Saccharomyces cerevisiae S288C: one gene and its partners. The main gene of each other region encodes a partner of the protein of the gene in region 3 in a complex. Each region holds a gene or a part of one and is shown on either strand. Other genes may lie near its edges. A codon is read from its position in the direction of its gene.

Evidence for each region. The genes of interacting proteins can lie anywhere in the genome.
Region 1: the proteins of YNG2 (region 3) and EAF6 are in contact, whole or in part, in a crystal structure (PDB 5J9T), measured with the Saccharomyces cerevisiae proteins. Residues at the interface, in NP_011958.1 of Saccharomyces cerevisiae: Ile11 (codon at 1,691), Val14 (codon at 1,700), Leu17 (codon at 1,709), Pro18 (codon at 1,712), Phe21 (codon at 1,721), Arg22 (codon at 1,724), Leu25 (codon at 1,733), Ile28 (codon at 1,742), Gly29 (codon at 1,745), Asp32 (codon at 1,754), Leu33 (codon at 1,757), Ile36 (codon at 1,766), Lys40 (codon at 1,778); in NP_012615.3 of Saccharomyces cerevisiae: Ile69 (codon at 2,055), Ile70 (codon at 2,058), Gly72 (codon at 2,064), Phe73 (codon at 2,067), Asp74 (codon at 2,070), Asp92 (codon at 2,124), Ile94 (codon at 2,130), Phe95 (codon at 2,133), Leu97 (codon at 2,139), Ser98 (codon at 2,142), Ser99 (codon at 2,145), Ala100 (codon at 2,148), Thr101 (codon at 2,151), Lys104 (codon at 2,160).
Region 2: YNG2 (region 3) and EAF1 share a complex: the UniProt entries of both Saccharomyces cerevisiae proteins name them as parts of the nuA4 histone acetyltransferase complex.

What each region holds. Positions count from the first base shown.
Region 1 is NC_001142.9:580,501-584,105, reverse strand, and holds EAF6 (Eaf6p), read left to right. Parts: upstream 1-1,850; coding exon 1,851-2,192; downstream 2,193-3,605. Other genes in the region: YJR084W (uncharacterized protein), read right to left, coding at 1-373; ACF4 (Acf4p), read left to right, coding at 569-1,498; AIM24 (Aim24p), read left to right, coding at 2,490-3,605; YJR079W (uncharacterized protein), read right to left, coding at 2,867-3,053. UniProt on the Saccharomyces cerevisiae protein: Component of the NuA4 histone acetyltransferase complex which is involved in transcriptional activation of selected genes principally by acetylation of nucleosomal histone H4 and H2A. The NuA4 complex is also involved in DNA repair.
Region 2 is NC_001136.10:1,190,523-1,196,757, reverse strand, and holds EAF1 (Eaf1p), read left to right. Parts: upstream 1-1,873; coding exon 1,874-4,822; downstream 4,823-6,235. Other genes in the region: transcription factor TFIIIC subunit TFC6, read left to right, coding at 1-79; protein-transporting protein BCP1, read left to right, coding at 495-1,346; GGA1 (ubiquitin-binding protein), read right to left, coding at 5,026-6,235. UniProt on the Saccharomyces cerevisiae protein: Component of the NuA4 histone acetyltransferase complex which is involved in transcriptional activation of selected genes principally by acetylation of nucleosomal histone H4 and H2A. The NuA4 complex is also involved in DNA repair.
Region 3 is NC_001140.6:278,911-286,285, reverse strand, and holds YNG2 (histone acetyltransferase YNG2), read left to right. Parts: upstream 1-1,660; coding exon 1,661-2,509; downstream 2,510-7,375. Other genes in the region: arginine--tRNA ligase MSR1, read left to right, coding at 1-1,447; H/ACA snoRNP pseudouridylase subunit GAR1, read left to right, coding at 2,988-3,605; rRNA-binding ribosome biosynthesis protein RPF1, read right to left, coding at 3,904-4,791; RTC3 (Rtc3p), read right to left, coding at 5,131-5,466; YHR086W-A (uncharacterized protein), read right to left, coding at 5,894-6,055; NAM8 (Nam8p), read right to left, coding at 6,562-7,375. UniProt on the Saccharomyces cerevisiae protein: Component of the NuA4 histone acetyltransferase complex which is involved in transcriptional activation of selected genes principally by acetylation of nucleosomal histone H4 and H2A. The NuA4 complex is also involved in DNA repair.

The DNA of each region.
Region 1 (3,605 bases), on a different chromosome or scaffold from region 3:
GTTCACTAGATTCGTTTGCCAGACGAATTAATTGTTTAGCCATTACCCACAGCGGATAAATTATCCAATTGGTTTCTCTTTCTACTATTCTGTTGAAAAGTTTCAACTGTTCATTGGCTAATCGCAGCAATTCCTCAGTAGCATTCTTGATCCGCCCTTGCTTCTTCAATGACCTCCGCTTGGAATACTTCAATTTTAGATCTACTCCTAATTGGTAAAACCTTTGTAATCGTACACTCTCTTCATCTGTCGCCGTAGGCCTTTGTAGTATATATTTAGTCTTTTTAGGTGTTTTAACGTCATATCTGATGAAGTCTAACAGTTTGTCGTCATAGCGTTTCTCTTCAAAATAACATCCTATATCAACATCCATGATTGGTTGTAGAAACCGTTGCTGGACCTTTCTGTTCCTGTGTAACTCTCTCCAGACATTCCTTTACATACAATTTTCTTTTTTTTTCCTGACCTTTATCGTTAGCTTTTTCAAAATCAAAAACAATACGATTGAGGAATACTACTAACTAGCCAAAAGCAATACAAAATACATCCATACATACGCCCTAAAGTAATGTCAGAAGACCAGCGTGTAATTAGTCAACCAATTGAATTACATAAGCTGTCGATTGTCGATAAACACTCCCAAGGACAGCAGCAACAGCCGCATCAAAAACAACATGAAGTGCAGCCTGAATCAAAATCACCAAGGGTTACGACACCTTTAAAGCCCAAAAGACTTGCTATACCTATATCAAGTCCGCAAAGATCTACGACAAATCAGTCACCCGTGAGCGACCACGCAAGTCCGATTTCAACAGACCAAGATTTAATATATAAATTAGCTGCAAAACACAGAGAAATCAATGAACTTAGTTTCAAATTAGAGGTCGCCCAAAAAGAATTAAAACAATTAGAGTTACAGTTCAAAGATACACTGCCCCGAAATGGACAACAGAAATTAGGTAACCAGAACCCAAGTGAATACCTCTCTACTTTTACCAAAAGAATTCAACAGACATTTGTGGACGTAAATAATTCACCAAATATGCTCAAGGGAAAAAAGAGTATAAACGATTTTTTTAGTAAGCCCAATAATAATGTTAATAGCAACATAAATAACACTCTACCCAATCGTAAACCGAACCCTCCGCCTAATCGGTCACAACGTATGCAAAATATTGCTCCAAGCCGTAGTTCAGAATCAACTCCAACATCGGGTCCTCCCTTGCTACCCCCAAGGAATACTATGAAGAATGCTAATACCACGGCAACTGCTGGGGAGAACACACCATTCTTACAAAGAATACTTAACAAATTCAATCAAATGAATATGGAAGAGGACGAATTCGATGACCTTTTGGAAAAGAGGAAAAGTAAGAAAGATCACTATTACATAAAAGAAAATTTGGGTTACGAATACGATGAAGTACGCAGTGAAGACGAGGATGATGAAGAGTTTGAACCCATGGGTGACATACCCGTTCATTTATTTAAAAGGTAGCTAATGTCCACTATTGATGCTTTCTCAAGAGACCTTCATATGTAATATTCTCATTAAATACAAAGATTAAACGGCTTCATTTATGCATTCCTTTATTTAGGTAAATTTTTTTTGCCCGATTTTTGGTACTACTGCTTTCCTTTTTTAAATGTAATTGATATTTTTAAAAAAACCTCACATGTAGGCGATTAACCCAGGTCCTTCAACAACTTGCCGACTATGCCATTAAATTAATGATTAAAGGTGTGTAAAGCCACAACGAAAGCAAAGAATATACGTAAGATAAACATCTTTAGAGAACAGCCATTTTCCATCATCTTTCCGTTTGTTACCAACCTACGCCTAGAAGAAAATGACTGATGAGCTGAAAAGTTATGAAGCATTGAAAGCGGAACTAAAAAAGTCCCTCCAAGATAGAAGAGAGCAAGAAGATACCTTTGACAACTTACAACAAGAGATATATGATAAAGAGACCGAGTATTTCTCACACAATAGTAATAACAACCATTCAGGTCATGGGGGAGCCCATGGGTCAAAATCACACTATTCTGGTAACATCATAAAAGGGTTTGATACCTTCTCCAAGTCACACCACAGCCATGCAGATTCTGCATTCAATAACAATGATCGTATTTTTTCATTAAGTAGTGCTACGTACGTGAAGCAGCAGCATGGCCAATCACAAAACGACTAATGCGATAGCACACGTTGGTATTTACGTTGCTTGACCGCTCTAAAACATCTGATTGAAAAGAAAAAGAGAGAAGAAGGAAATGATTTCGACAGGTGACCTTTAAGTTCGATATACCTACATATTGGCTATTTCTTTTATTTTTCATTTTCTATAAAATATCTATATAAGTATTTTTATAACGATTTACTAACAAGGGCAAAATTTCAAAGGTCCCGTGCTCCCAGTCATTTTATTGGCTGGCGAATAAACGGATACAGATAAACAAAACAGAAGCACAGAAAAGGATATCCACCCATCATGATAAGCCCAAGGGTGAATACTCGAGTTTGGCAGAGATCAATTTCTCTTTTGAGCCCACAAGCGGCCAAGACGGAGAGTAATGTCGTAACTAAAGAAAGGACATATATCGAGAACTTAAGCAAGGATATTGCGACTTCCCGTTTCAGGCTAGTAGACGAAAATGGTAAAATTGCATCTATCACTGTTCAACCAGATATTCCAATTTGTATCAAAAAGGATTGCCTAGTTTCCATTCACAATTTGAACCATTTATCCCTTTCCTATAAATGGCTGAATTTTTGGTCAAACCTGATTAAATTTCGTTCATTCAAATCTTCATTGTTTCATAGAATTATTGGATCCTCCGTTTTAGAAATTCTGGCTGCCCCAAACTTTCAAACATCGAGAAGACCTTTCGATTCTTCAAGAAGCTTGTCCGTACTGAATTTGACCGGGACAAAGGATTGGAATGTATTTGGCAAGGATTCAATTATCGCATTTGAACAGAACTCCAGTCTGGAAATCAAATCGCCTATCTTTCCCTCTGCAAGGTCTTTAGTCTCGAACTCATCAAAATCACAACTACCACGGAAATTTCAAATTCTGAATGGGAGAGGAAATGTGTTAGTATGTGGAGGTGGGTTGGTATATTCAATTGAGTTAATTGATGAAAGCGACAAAATTCTGGTTAATTCCAGAAACATTTTGGCCATCAACGGCCAAAGTCAATTGGATATTGCAAATTCAGTGGAGAGACAAGAGTTACACGTGGAAGGCGCGTACGTCGGAGATTCAAGTAATGATACGGTGGCACCTAAATTCATTAAGAACCAAACGCTAAAATCTGCTTACGGACATACTGTTCAATTTTTCAAAAGAATGCGCAGTTGGATCCGTAACCAGTACGAAAAAAGATACATTTATGGTGTCGACTCGTACTTTATGAAGATTAAAGGTCCAAGAACAATATTGATTCAAACGCATGAAATGACAACATCCAAAGATAATATTCTAACTAAACTAACGTCCAAGGGCCACGTTAAGAAGAGCAACGTGAATGATAACGGTGTCAATTTAGAGAAACAAGTGGCTAACGATGTAAATTCAAAGATCATTGAGCTTGCCAACAGACCC
Region 2 (6,235 bases), on a different chromosome or scaffold from region 3:
GAATGAAACGAGCGCTGGAGGCAAATGTTATGCATTTTCTAATAGTGCTGGACTATTAACACTCGAATACCTGTCATGAGATGGACTTTACGTAATAAATACAATTTGTGACATTGAACTATTGTTGACGAAAAAAACTATCTTTTTTTATTGAAATGAAAAAGGAATAAAATAGCCTAATGTAAAATATCGCCTGGCTAGCACTAATAACTTTGAGTATTGTTGCAGTTATTCCTGCCGCAAATTATGTATTAAAATTTATACAGATATTGTGCCATAACTTCAGTTAAGGGTAAATTATCAAATTCTCGATATCCGTGGTCACTTTATACGAGTTTCTCTTTCCGTGCCTATATTCCTCGCGATGAGATTGAGGTAGAAAAAATATCTGAAAAAGAGTTGTCAATATATTATCTATTATGTCCTTATAATTTTATCATTTAGATTGTTCATGAGGCCCACATTTTCATAGGATTGCTAATTAACTCACAAATATGGTTCAAGCTATCAAATTAAATGATTTAAAAAATAGGAAGAGAAAAAATGTGGAGGAAGAAAATGGCAGTGACGAGTCTGAAATTGACATTAGTAGCACCGATTCAGAAAATGAAGAAGAGCAAAATGGAGAAGAAGAGATCGTAAATATTGACTTCGATTTTTTCGGTGGTAACCCAGAAGTTGATTTTCATGCTTTAAAGAATTTACTGCGTCAGTTATTTGGTCCTCAAGAAAGTACCAGGATTCAACTAAGCAGCTTGGCAGATTTGATCCTAGGTTCCCCAACCACCACAATTAAAACAGACGGCAAAGAATCTGATCCATACTGTTTTCTTTCATTCGTTGATTTCAAAGCTAATCATCTAAGTGATTATGTCAAATATTTACAAAAAGTGGACATGAGACTTTCCACTTTCTTCAAAACTATGATTGATAGTGGTAATAAAAATTGTGCTTTGGTTCTCAGTGAAAGGCTGATTAATATGCCACCGGAAGTCGTTCCACCTTTATACAAGATTACGTTGGAGGATGTTGCCACGGCACTTGGCGATGACAAACATTATGACTTCTATATCATCGTCACCAGGAAGTATGAAGTAAATTTTGACACTGACGATGATACCGACTCTGGTAAGAGGAATAAAAACAAAGACGAAAGATCCAAAAAAAGGGTGAAGGCCGATGAAGTAGACTACTTTCATGAGGAGGACCGATTTTTTGAAAAATATGCCAAGATTCACTTCGAATCAGAAGCTAAAAAGGGTGTTATCAGCTCATACATGATTCTTGATCACGAAGGCCTTGTCAAAAGTATCGATGAATTGGAAACAGAAATTTCCACTTGGTAATTTTACGAAAAGTAAATAGTTGCGATCACTGCCCTGCACAGTTAGTGCAATTTGTATATTATTAACAGACGAAGCAGCAGCGGCCATTGAGCCTTTATGTCATCCTACACGGATAATTTTGGGCTGCCGAGGACAGTAAAAATTAATCCGCCACCGCTGAAAATTTTTCTGGGCGATCATCTTTTTAATGTCGTGTGCTCCAATAAAAATACATAGTATATATTGTGCAAAGTGAAATCAGATTGTAATTCAAGAAAGGTCATTCACCCTGAGCCTTATAGAACATAGTCAGCATATAAGTGTTGAGCATTTTGAGCCGGGGCATACAGGTATTTGCGGCGTAACTACAAAATTTCTGGTTCTTCCCCCTTTCGAACCGTTAGAAGGGATAAGGATTTTTGCGTACTTGCTGCAGCCGCGAAATTTTCAAAGGCCGGCTATTACCCGTAGGCGTTAGCCGCCGAACAGATAGAATATAAAGATTATTTAGAGACATCATAATCAAAAGTACAGTTTCCGCCTCAAAGATGTCCTCACGTCCAAGTTCAGCAGTGCCTAATTCAGCATCACTCAGTGAGGACCAGAGCAGTGATAGAAGTAAATTTCCTAAGGCAGATGACTTAATTGATGAAAGAGATAGAAAACTGACCGAACTATACTGCGTATCCCGCTTGAACCAGCTGCTAGAGTTAACAGATGAAAACAAACTTCGGAAGGAAATAGATGCATTTTTAAAGAAAAACGATATACGAAGGGGTATAAGGTTTGACGAGGCGTCACTGCCGAAGCTCCTACATACAGCTGCGACTCCCATAACAAAAAAGAAATTGAAGGATGTAAATTTAATAAATGTACCTAACCAGAGGCTATCCGATTCTAAAATGAGTAGGGAACTGCCAGAAAATAGCGAAAATGTATCAGTCAAATCAGAGAGTCATTTTGTTCCAAGCCACGATAATTCAATCCGTGAAAATATGATGGATTCTTTGAGGCCAGCTGAAAAGACAGGAGGTATGTGGAACAAAAGGCCACTTGAGTCAACTATGGGAGGTGAAGAAGAGCGACATGAAAAAAGACAGAAGATGCAATCTCAGTCATTGGAATCTTCTAATAATTCGGAAATGGCTTCATTACCTATTTCGCCGCGTCCCCCAGTGCCTAATGCATTAGCACACTACACTTATTATGAGAACATCGAGTACCCACCAGCAGATCCCACTGAGGTGCAACCTGCAGTAAAATTCAAGGATCCGTTGATAAAGAACATTATGGCGAAAGAGATAGATACATCAGACCATTATAACGAGAACAATGTTGACGCATTAGAGACCGTATTTTTATTAATGAACGATTATATACCATCGAAAATACCCCAGGCTTTGCCCTTAGCAGAATTGAAGTACATGTCACAAACTCTGCCTCTTATTAATCTAATACCGAGAGCTCACAAGGCTTTGACCACTAATATTATAAACAACGCCTTAAACGAGGCCAGAATTACTGTTGTTGGCTCGCGAATAGAAGAACTAAGAAGACTTGGATTATGGTCTTTAAGACAACCTAAAAGATTCATCGATCCGTGGAAACAACACAATACGCATCAAAACATACTTTTAGAAGAAGCTAAATGGATGCAAGCAGATTTTAAAGAGGGCCACAAATATAAAGTAGCTATCTGCACAGCAATGGCACAGGCAATCAAGGACTACTGGACCTATGGGGAAATATGCTGTGTAAAACGTAAAACACTTCTACCTGGTAAGGAAAATAAATTATCTGACGACGGGCGCATATCTGAAAAGTCCGGTAGACCATCGGATACTTCAAGAAATGATTCCGATATTAGCATAGCCGGTAAGGATGACATTGGAATTATTGCGAACGTTGACGATATTACTGAAAAAGAAAGTGCTGCTGCTAACGATAATGATGAGAATGGAAAGAATGAAGCAGGAGCTAAGAGTGATTTTGATTTTGCAGATGGTTTGTTATCTCAAGAAGGTGCCCACGATCAAATTATATCTTCTATTGACACCAAGTTACTTCTAAAAAAGCCATCCTCCTCAAGCGAAGTTGTTTTAATACAACATGAAGTAGCTGCATCATCAGCGTTGATCGAAACCGAAGAATCAAAGAAAGAGCTAGCCCCCCCATTTAAACTTTCAATCTTTGTTGACGAACTCAATACTTTTGAAAAAACATTAATACAGGATTTACCGCTGTATAATGGTATTAATGAAGAACGGCCAAAAAAAGATGATTCTTTACCATTTATTCCAATTTCCAAATCGGTAGTGTCACTGGATGATAATGGATTTTATAAGTTACTTGAGCGTCAATTGATTGACGAAGAACCATCAATATCACAATTGAGCAAAAGGCGGGGTATGTTCTATGGTAATAGAAGAAATCATTATTTAAGACCACCAGCAGTACCTTCATTACGCTATCTTCAAAATAGAACACCGACTATATGGCTGTCTGAGGACGATCAGGAACTGGTCAAAAATATTAACACATATGGCTACAATTGGGAATTGATTAGTGCACATATGACACATCGCCTCACATATTCTTATTTATCGAATATTGAACGTAGAACGCCATGGCAGTGTTTTGAGCGTTTTGTACAATTAAATGAACGATTCAATTTTAGTGACCTCAAGGGTCCCAGAGCACATAGTGCTCAACAGTGGTTGATTGAAGCCCATAAATTTCAGCAGAGACAGAATAGAAGAATATCGCCTTTAGGTGTAAATACAGAATCCATACAAAGAGGTCATAGGAGACTCCGTTGGGCGAGCATGTTTGAGGCGATTAGAAAATGTATGAAAAAAAGAGAAAATACGCCGCGTCCCAATCCAACCCAGCCAAGGAAACCGTTAGATTGTAAAAACATGAAGGTCCCTACCCCAGCAGAAATGTCGCTTTTGAAAGCCCAAAGAGATGAGGCATTGAGAAGGGATATACAATTGAGAAGAACAGTGAAAAATAGATTACAACAGAGGCAACAGCAAAGTCAGCAGGCACATTCATCCCGAGCTCAAAGTCCAATACCTTCAAATGGCAAATCTTCTTCAAATTTGGCTAGAAATGGGCAAGCGTCGGCTCCAAGACCAAACCAGAAACAGTATACTGAGCAAGATATCATTGAAAGTTACTCGAGGAAGTTGTTGGAGCAAAAACCAGACATTGGTCCTGAGATGGCCCTTAAGGCGGCAAAAAACTATTATAGAACCTTGAGAGAACAACAGCAACAGCTAAAGCAGCACCAGATTCAACAGCAAAGGCAGCAGTTACAGGAGGAGTCCAGTCATGTGCAGCAACTGCAGCAACTACAACCAGGGTCTCAAGCTCCGCCACCGAAATCATCTCCATCTCAATCTTCTCTTTCCAATATTTCTAACATTAATTCTGCTCCAAGGATAAAGTCACCAACTCCACAGGAGATTTTACAAAGGTTCCAAAAACAATGACCTAACTTTACGACTTTACGATACTGATCTTTTTTTTTTTTTAACCAGGCTTATATTGGTTTTTTGATTTTTATAAATTTACGAATACTATTATATATAAGTAAAACGTTTTACTTCTCTGGTTTAGTATGTTGGCGTAACACTCTGTTCTCTGTAATATAATATGGCATCTACTTTTTTTTCAACTTCTCTACCGAATTTGATTATATTGTGGGCAAACTGGTCGTGCCCGATTCTTCCTTCGAATCACCCTTGGTGCAGTAATTAGCCTTCCATTTCAATTTTATGGGCTTACCTAAATTAACAGATATACCCTCTACGGAAGCAATCTGTTTGATACCATCTCTGGAGTTACTTTGGAGCATATTGCCCGATTGCGGTTGCAGAGACAATGTCGTGCCTTTAGGTGATGCCACTAAAAGTGCAAAATTAGTTATTGGATCACTGCTTATGTTTGAATAGAAGATAACTAATCGTAGTTTTGTCATCGACTCACGAGTTAATTCGTAATCAATGCGTAAGTGATCCGATTGGTTAAGTATATGTCTTTGCGATTGAGCTGTGATTTCCTTGGAGTTACTTGAACTATTTAGTAAACCATTAGGTAGAACAATCGAGTTAGAATATGCGGACAGAGCGGTTTTACTTTCTCCAGGTTGCGAATCAAAATCTAATAAATCTATACCAGATGACTTTGAGTGAGCGTCACCAAGTATATCAACAACAGTGTCGTTTTCTTGAGGAGACTTTGGGGATGATAAACTTACCTTATTAAAATCCCCTAAAAGATCGTCAAAAGGTTGCAAAGATTTGCTTGGAGATGTCACAGATGGAGTGTTTGCTGTTGTATCGTCATCAAAATCTATCAAATTAAGCTCTTTTGCCGGTTCATTCGTATCGGGGACATTTAGTTCTTCTTCCTTCATACCTTTTATTGACTTGTACCTTTTTAACAATTGGATCACTAGATCGTTAAATTTTGATAGATTACTAACAAGCGCATCGTCATCGCGTTCTTCCTCAATAAGCTTTTTGAATTTCGGCTGCGCTGATTTTAAGTCGCCATACAATTCTTGAATAGCTTCATTTTCAAGATCAGGCTCATCGGCTGAAGTCAACATTTCGTTGAATAAATCAGCTTTTCTTTTGAGTTTATTTAGTTCATTGTTAATTGCTTGTTTGACTGCTACTTTAGTGTCATCCTTAAATCCCGCCATAATTTTCATCAGTTTATTAGCTTCTTTCAAATCATCGGGCTTGCCGCTTCTTAGCAGCTCTTCTAGTTTTGCAGCTTGAGCTCTTTCCTGTTCTTCCTGTAGCTCACTAGGTGTCCTCAGTTGGTCATTCGGTCTCAACACCGCCAAGTTTTCACTCCCAACTTTTGGGAAAGTATAACCCTTGTATTTCAGTAAT
Region 3 (7,375 bases):
TATATTACTTCAAAAGGGGAAATATGGTCAGAAAAAATCTCGTCATCAGAAAAAAGTTGTAGTAGAATTTTCATCACCAAATATTGCCAAACCATTCCATGCAGGCCATTTAAGATCGACTATAATAGGTGGATTCCTTTCAAACTTATATGAAGCAATGGGGTGGTCCGTTACACGTATGAACTACCTAGGAGACTGGGGCAGACAGTTTGGTTTGTTAGCAGTCGGTTTTAAGAGATACGGCGATGAAAAGACGTTACAAAAGCAGCCAATTCAGCATTTATTCGACGTCTACGTTAAAATCAACATGGACCTTGCCAAGGAAGAGATAAACGGAAACTCTAAGTGTGGGATTAGCGGTGAGGCCCGTAGTTTTTTCAAAAACTTAGAAAATGGGGATGAGAATGCCATTAAGATATGGAATAGGTTTCGCTCGTTATCCATCCACCACTATATCCAAACTTATTCACGTTTGAACATTAATTTTGATATATTCTCCGGTGAATCACAAGTGTCTAAAGAATCTATGAATGAAGCCTTAGATATATTTCGCAAAAACAATCTTGTTAAAGAAATAGACGGTGCCCTTGTCATCGATTTAACCCAATGGTCGAAAAGATTGGGCAGAGTTGTTGTACAAAAATCAGACGGAACAACTTTGTACTTGACAAGAGATGTAGGGGCAGCCATAGAGCGTAAAAAGAATCTACATTTTGATAAAATGGTGTACGTGATTTCCTCACAGCAAGATTTATACATGTCCCAGTTTTTTATGATATTAAAAAAAATGAATTTTGAATGGGCAAAAGACTTGCAGCATATAAATTTTGGTATGGTGCAGGGCATGTCGACCAGAAAAGGAAATGTGGTATTCTTAGATACCATACTAGACGAGGCAAGGGATAAAGCTCTGCAAATTATGGAAAATAACAAAATGAAAATATCTCAGGTAGATAATCCACAGCGTGTTGCAGATTTAATTGGCGTATCTGCTATCATTATTCAAGATATGAAATCAAAGCGTATCAATAACTATGAATTCAACTGGAACAGAATGTTGTCTTTCGAAGGTGACACAGGGCCCTATTTACAATACACACATTCCAGACTTAGATCTTTAGAAAGGACCTCCAGCGACTTTACGACGGACATGCTAATACACGCAGATTTTTCAAATTTAAATGAACCACAACTAGTTGAGCTTGTGAGGTTGCTAGCGCAGTATCCAGATGTCCTTAGACGAGCATTCGAAACTCAAGAGCCGGCCACGATTGTAACATATTTATTCAAAGTTTGCCATCAGGTCTCCTCGTGCTATAAAAAAATATGGGTTTCCGGAAAACCTGCAGATATTGCCATACCGCGACTCGCCGTATATTCAGCAAGTAGACAAGTGTTACACAATGCAATGTCGCTTTTGGGACTAGTCCCGGTTGATAGAATGTAATTATATGAATAAGCTAGCAAATGCTAGATTAATTTAGATTAAGTTTAACCAATTTATAAACATGTAAATAGAAGAAAGTTTATTGTTACGTACAACGTGATATTTTCCGATTTTCCTTTAATTGATTCTTGAATAACCCACCTACCGTTAGTTGAAATAGAAACAAAGAAGAAGGATATGCAAGTTTATATTGGACAACATAACCAATAGAAGATGGATCCAAGTTTAGTTTTAGAGCAAACGATACAAGATGTGTCCAACCTCCCATCAGAATTTCGTTACCTCTTAGAGGAGATCGGTTCAAATGATTTGAAGCTCATCGAAGAAAAAAAGAAATACGAGCAAAAAGAATCACAAATACACAAATTTATAAGACAGCAAGGCTCAATACCGAAACATCCACAGGAAGATGGGCTTGACAAAGAAATAAAAGAATCACTTTTGAAATGTCAGTCTTTGCAAAGAGAAAAATGCGTTCTGGCGAACACTGCCTTGTTTCTAATTGCTAGACACTTGAATAAGTTGGAAAAAAACATCGCTTTATTGGAGGAAGATGGTGTTCTAGCCCCCGTGGAAGAAGATGGAGACATGGATAGCGCTGCTGAAGCCTCTAGAGAAAGTTCAGTTGTGAGTAACAGTAGCGTGAAAAAGAGAAGAGCTGCATCAAGCTCAGGATCCGTTCCACCCACTTTGAAAAAGAAAAAAACTAGTCGAACATCTAAACTGCAAAATGAAATTGACGTTTCTTCAAGAGAAAAGTCTGTTACTCCAGTGAGCCCAAGCATTGAAAAGAAGATTGCAAGAACAAAAGAATTCAAAAACAGTAGAAATGGTAAAGGCCAAAACGGTTCCCCTGAAAACGAGGAAGAGGACAAAACTTTATACTGCTTCTGTCAAAGAGTTTCGTTTGGAGAAATGGTTGCATGTGATGGACCCAACTGTAAATATGAATGGTTTCATTATGATTGTGTAAATTTAAAAGAACCTCCGAAAGGAACATGGTACTGTCCCGAATGTAAAATTGAGATGGAAAAAAACAAACTGAAAAGAAAACGTAACTGAACAAAAATACCTTTTTGAGACTGAATGACCTCATTTACACTAATAATATTCCATAAGCCAGAAACGGTGATTGCTATTCTGACAATGTGCTTTTCGAAAAGGAGAAGTAATTTCGAGACATCAGCTAGCAAGGACATATACGATTGACATTTTTGAATGTACTTTCAAATACTTGTGAATCAAACTAAGATATGATTCCTGCATATTCAGGTATATACTATATATTTTAATTTCATTAGCATATGTGTCATACGGTTTTTAAAACTTATGAGCAGGAAAAAGGTGTCACGTGATCAGATGGTCTTTTTTTCAAACTTTGACGTCGGAATTTTTTGTAGTGAAAAATTTTTCGAGATGAGGAAAGGAAGAAAAAATTAATTTGTTAGCCTTATAACGTGAGCACCTTTTCGATAGAGTATCTGATTGCTCTCTTCTACCAAAAGATCACCTGAGGATAATTTTTAACCAAAAGAAAATAATGAGTTTCAGAGGAGGTAATAGAGGTGGCCGTGGCGGCTTCCGTGGCGGCTTTCGTGGTGGACGTACAGGCAGTGCTAGATCATTTCAACAAGGACCACCAGACACTGTTCTAGAAATGGGAGCTTTTCTACATCCATGTGAGGGTGATATTGTTTGCCGTTCTATCAACACTAAGATTCCATATTTCAATGCGCCAATATATTTGGAAAACAAGACTCAAGTCGGTAAAGTTGACGAAATATTGGGTCCATTAAACGAAGTATTTTTCACTATCAAGTGTGGTGACGGTGTCCAAGCAACCAGTTTTAAAGAAGGTGATAAATTCTACATTGCCGCTGACAAACTATTGCCTATTGAAAGATTTTTACCTAAGCCTAAGGTGGTAGGCCCACCAAAACCAAAAAACAAGAAGAAGAGAAGTGGTGCCCCAGGTGGCCGTGGTGGTGCTTCAATGGGTCGCGGTGGTAGCAGAGGAGGTTTCAGAGGAGGCCGTGGTGGTAGTTCTTTCAGAGGAGGCCGTGGTGGCAGTTCTTTCAGAGGTGGATCTCGTGGCGGATCATTTAGAGGAGGATCTCGTGGCGGATCTCGTGGTGGTTTCAGAGGAGGTAGAAGATAATCTAGCTAGAAAAAAATAAAAAAAAAAACCATCCTTTATCTTTCACAATTCTTCATTTCTTCCAACTTACTATATCTGCCGAAGCACGTCTAACGTCGAAAAAAAAAAAAAGAAATTACCGTTTGTTCTGTATACTATATATATATATATTTGTTTGATTGATTTACCTGTAATAAATTGATTTAAAATGAAAAAAAGAGAAATTCAGTAATACCAGAAGCCGCCGTAGTTAAACAAACGACCACGGTTCTTACGGTTGTCTTAATATTATATCCATACAAAGTTTACGAATGGAACACTATAAATAAAACTTTTTCTTTTCTTTGTCCATCTCAGGTTTATGCTCCCATTCAGTTTCTTCCTTAATACCCCTTTGCAATCTTTTCAACTTGAGGGTAAATTGTGGACCCAGTTCTTGCAAACCAACCCTTTCATTATCTTTGAAGACATACCGATGCCTTCTGAAGAAAATGTAATCTCTTTGATTATGTAGGGTGATAACTTGTCGACCTTCAATATCAGGATTCTGAGGTAAAATGGACTGAAACAACCTACCTACTGTTTGACCCAATCTGGTCTGGAAATTATTTAGAATCAATTCTGGAATATGGCTAGTTGGTCTACCATGACCGACAATTTTCTTCACTTCAACAAATGATGATAATTTAAAATAAAAAGTTGGGCCCTCTGGCAGATGTATGAATGTTAGGCCAGTAACCTTTTTCTTGTCCTCGTTGATTATCACGATGTCAGTGAAATTCCTTTTTATACAAATATCAGATATTTCCTTCAATTTGTAGCCAAATTTTCTTTTCACAAATGTGACGTTTGGTAAAATTTCGATTAAAATGTTAGCAAATTCATAAGCGCTCTTCTTAGCGTTTACATTTGTGGTCAGAAAGATCTTTGGTGGCTCATTAGAATTGCTGTTGAAGTATCTCATCAAATCGTCTTCATCTCCCTCCACTTCCTTGTTAATGGTCTCATCGTACACTCTAGTGTTCTCTATCGTCTGTGTTACGTTCTCTTTTAATCTCTGCTCCCGCAGCTCCGGATTCTCTCTCTCTTCCTTAGCTCTCTTTCTTCTCATGGTATGGCGCTCTTTATTTTTTTCATGTTTTATATCAGCAAAAATTTCTTGCCTCTTTAGCTTGTTTGTGATGTTTATCTCATTACCGAGAGCCATTTTTTAGTATTTCAATATATTAAGCCTGCTTTACCTCTTCCTTAGGTGTTCAATCGTAAAGTATAGCTTATGGCATCGCATTTCTTTTTACATCTCATCGCTAAAAATTTTACTTTTCCTTTGTATAAATAATCATGTGTGACGAACGCGAAAATGAAAAATGCACTGAATTAAATGTATACAACGTTATATAGATCGTAAATATGTATATTGAAATATACACCTTTTTGTTCTTTCTACTACTGTAAAAGAAGAATGCATGCGTTATGACAGGGCAGCACGCCAATTTAACTTATTGCATATTTCAATGCAGGCTGTCCAGACAGAAGGAAAAGCTACTCAATTGTAGGCTTTGGTTCCGGCGTTACCCCCTTTGGTTTTGAGACTAGAGGTGGTAGAGTTTGGCTTACCATTTCTCAATATCAAATCGATAACTTCTTCGATCTTCTTGCCCTTACCGAACTCATTTTCCACTTGGGCCTTGGAGGCAGCGCCCAACTCACCCTCGGCACCCCTACCGTCCTGAGGAGTGAAAACTTCGAAGAGTTCGACAACTTCAGATAGCTTACCAATTGATGGATTTTTCAAATATTCGTCTACAAGCTCTTCGGATGCAGCGAAGACAATCAAATCTGTATTTTCACCCTTGTAAAAGTATTTGGTTACAGTAGACATGTTGATTTTATTTTGTGTATGCGATGGTTTTCTTATTTTTATCAGCTTGTTCAAAGTATGAATTTGTTGATAGCTGCTTTTTTATTAGTCAAGAATTGAGTTTAAAGAACATTGGCTTGTGATCATCATCGAAATTGATTCTCATCACTTAAATATCTTTTGCTCCCTGTTTCTGGCGATCCCTTCGACTAAATAAGGGGTCGTTGTTGTTACGTACGGCCCAACAGGGTAGTGCCTGCTCTAGCGTCGAAGTTAGAGGAAAAGAAGCTTAGAGAATAAAAACATTTACTAGTAGTAAGGGGTCTTATTGTCAGAAAGGGACAATTGCGTGGGCAGTATTTTCAAAGAGTGGCTTTCTTCTTCTGAACGGAGTTTCAACCTGCGCTTTCTTTTCCTCCTGCTAGGATTTATTTGTGAGAAAACGAAACTAGCTATAGAAACGCGTAGCACCGGCAGGCCGAAAACCGCTACTACGTAAAGGGGAATGAAAATGGGCCAAATTTGGTGTAAAGATATAGGAGAAGAGACACGGAGTAGGAATTCGCCGTGCCCCTATACAGAGACAACATGAATAGAGAGACAAACGCATTACGTAGTCTTGGAAGATAGCGCAACGGGAAATCTTGACACAGTAAGAAACATTTACAGTATAATAATACTAAAAATAAAATTAAGATACATCAATATAAAATTTTCGACAAATACAGAAAAGAACAGAGAAGAAAAAATGAAGGTGACGCAAAAAAGGAATTGACAGGCCGTAATGAGTAGTGATGGAAAGAAGGTAAATGGAAGTAATAAAGGAAAATCATAAACATGCTTAAAAGCGTACAATCTTGAATTGAATTAAGAATAACAATAACCTTGAAAGAAATGAAAATCAAAAGGAAAAACGCAACTATAACGATACAAAAAAGACTTAATAAAAGGACATGGAATCTTGAAAACGATAAAAAGCAATGAAAAAAAGAAAATAAAGCGCTGTTATATCACCGTCAGCCTAAGACCAAATACAATTTAACACTGAAGTAAAGAAAATACCAAGAAAGAAAAAGGGCCAAAAGGAAAACAAACATTTTTATATACACGTGTGGCTCAAGCAAACATAAAACCATTACTGCCTTGTTCCAAACGGTTTAACATTGCATTAGTGCTGTTAACAACCGCTTCGCTTCCTTGCATGATAACTTGTTGGCCACCCGTGCCTGAGAGGTCCATAGAGCTAGTGTCAGCCAGTAAACTAGTAGCTTGCGTATTTGTAGCATTATTATTACTGTAGAAACTGAAATTGTTCGAGCCTAATCCATTCGCATTAGCGTATGGATTAGAATAATTCAGAATTTGACATCCAGGAAGCATCGTGGATGAAACATTATTATCTGGCAGAACAGGTGCTTCACACGTACTGGATGGAATGTATCCGTAGTTAGGTTGCTGTAAACCTGGTTGCTGTTGTTGAACCTGTAAAGAGTTACTTAACATGGCTTGCTGAAGCAACGCTGTTTGCTTAGCAGACCTGCCCCAAGACAGTCTAACTCTTGAATTTGCAATGGGGAACCCTTGCATCCCAGCAATGGCAGCCTCAGCCGATAGCCGATCAACATACTGGACAAACCCGCAACATTTGCCTACCGGAATTTTGACATAGACTATCGTGCCAAAAGGTTGGAAATAAGCACGTAATTCGTCTTCAGTCACCAGTGATGACAATCCTCCGATAAACACAGTGGTGTTATTCGGATCAGTGAAGTGGTTTAAAGACGGCTGCTGTTGGACTGGATAAATGAATTGAGACATATGGTTTCTCTTAAAGCCCATGTTATTATTTCCATTGCTTAAAAATGATTGACCCTTGGAAAGAAATCTCGAGTCTACATTTTCGTTGTTTAGTGACGAAGAACTACGGTTG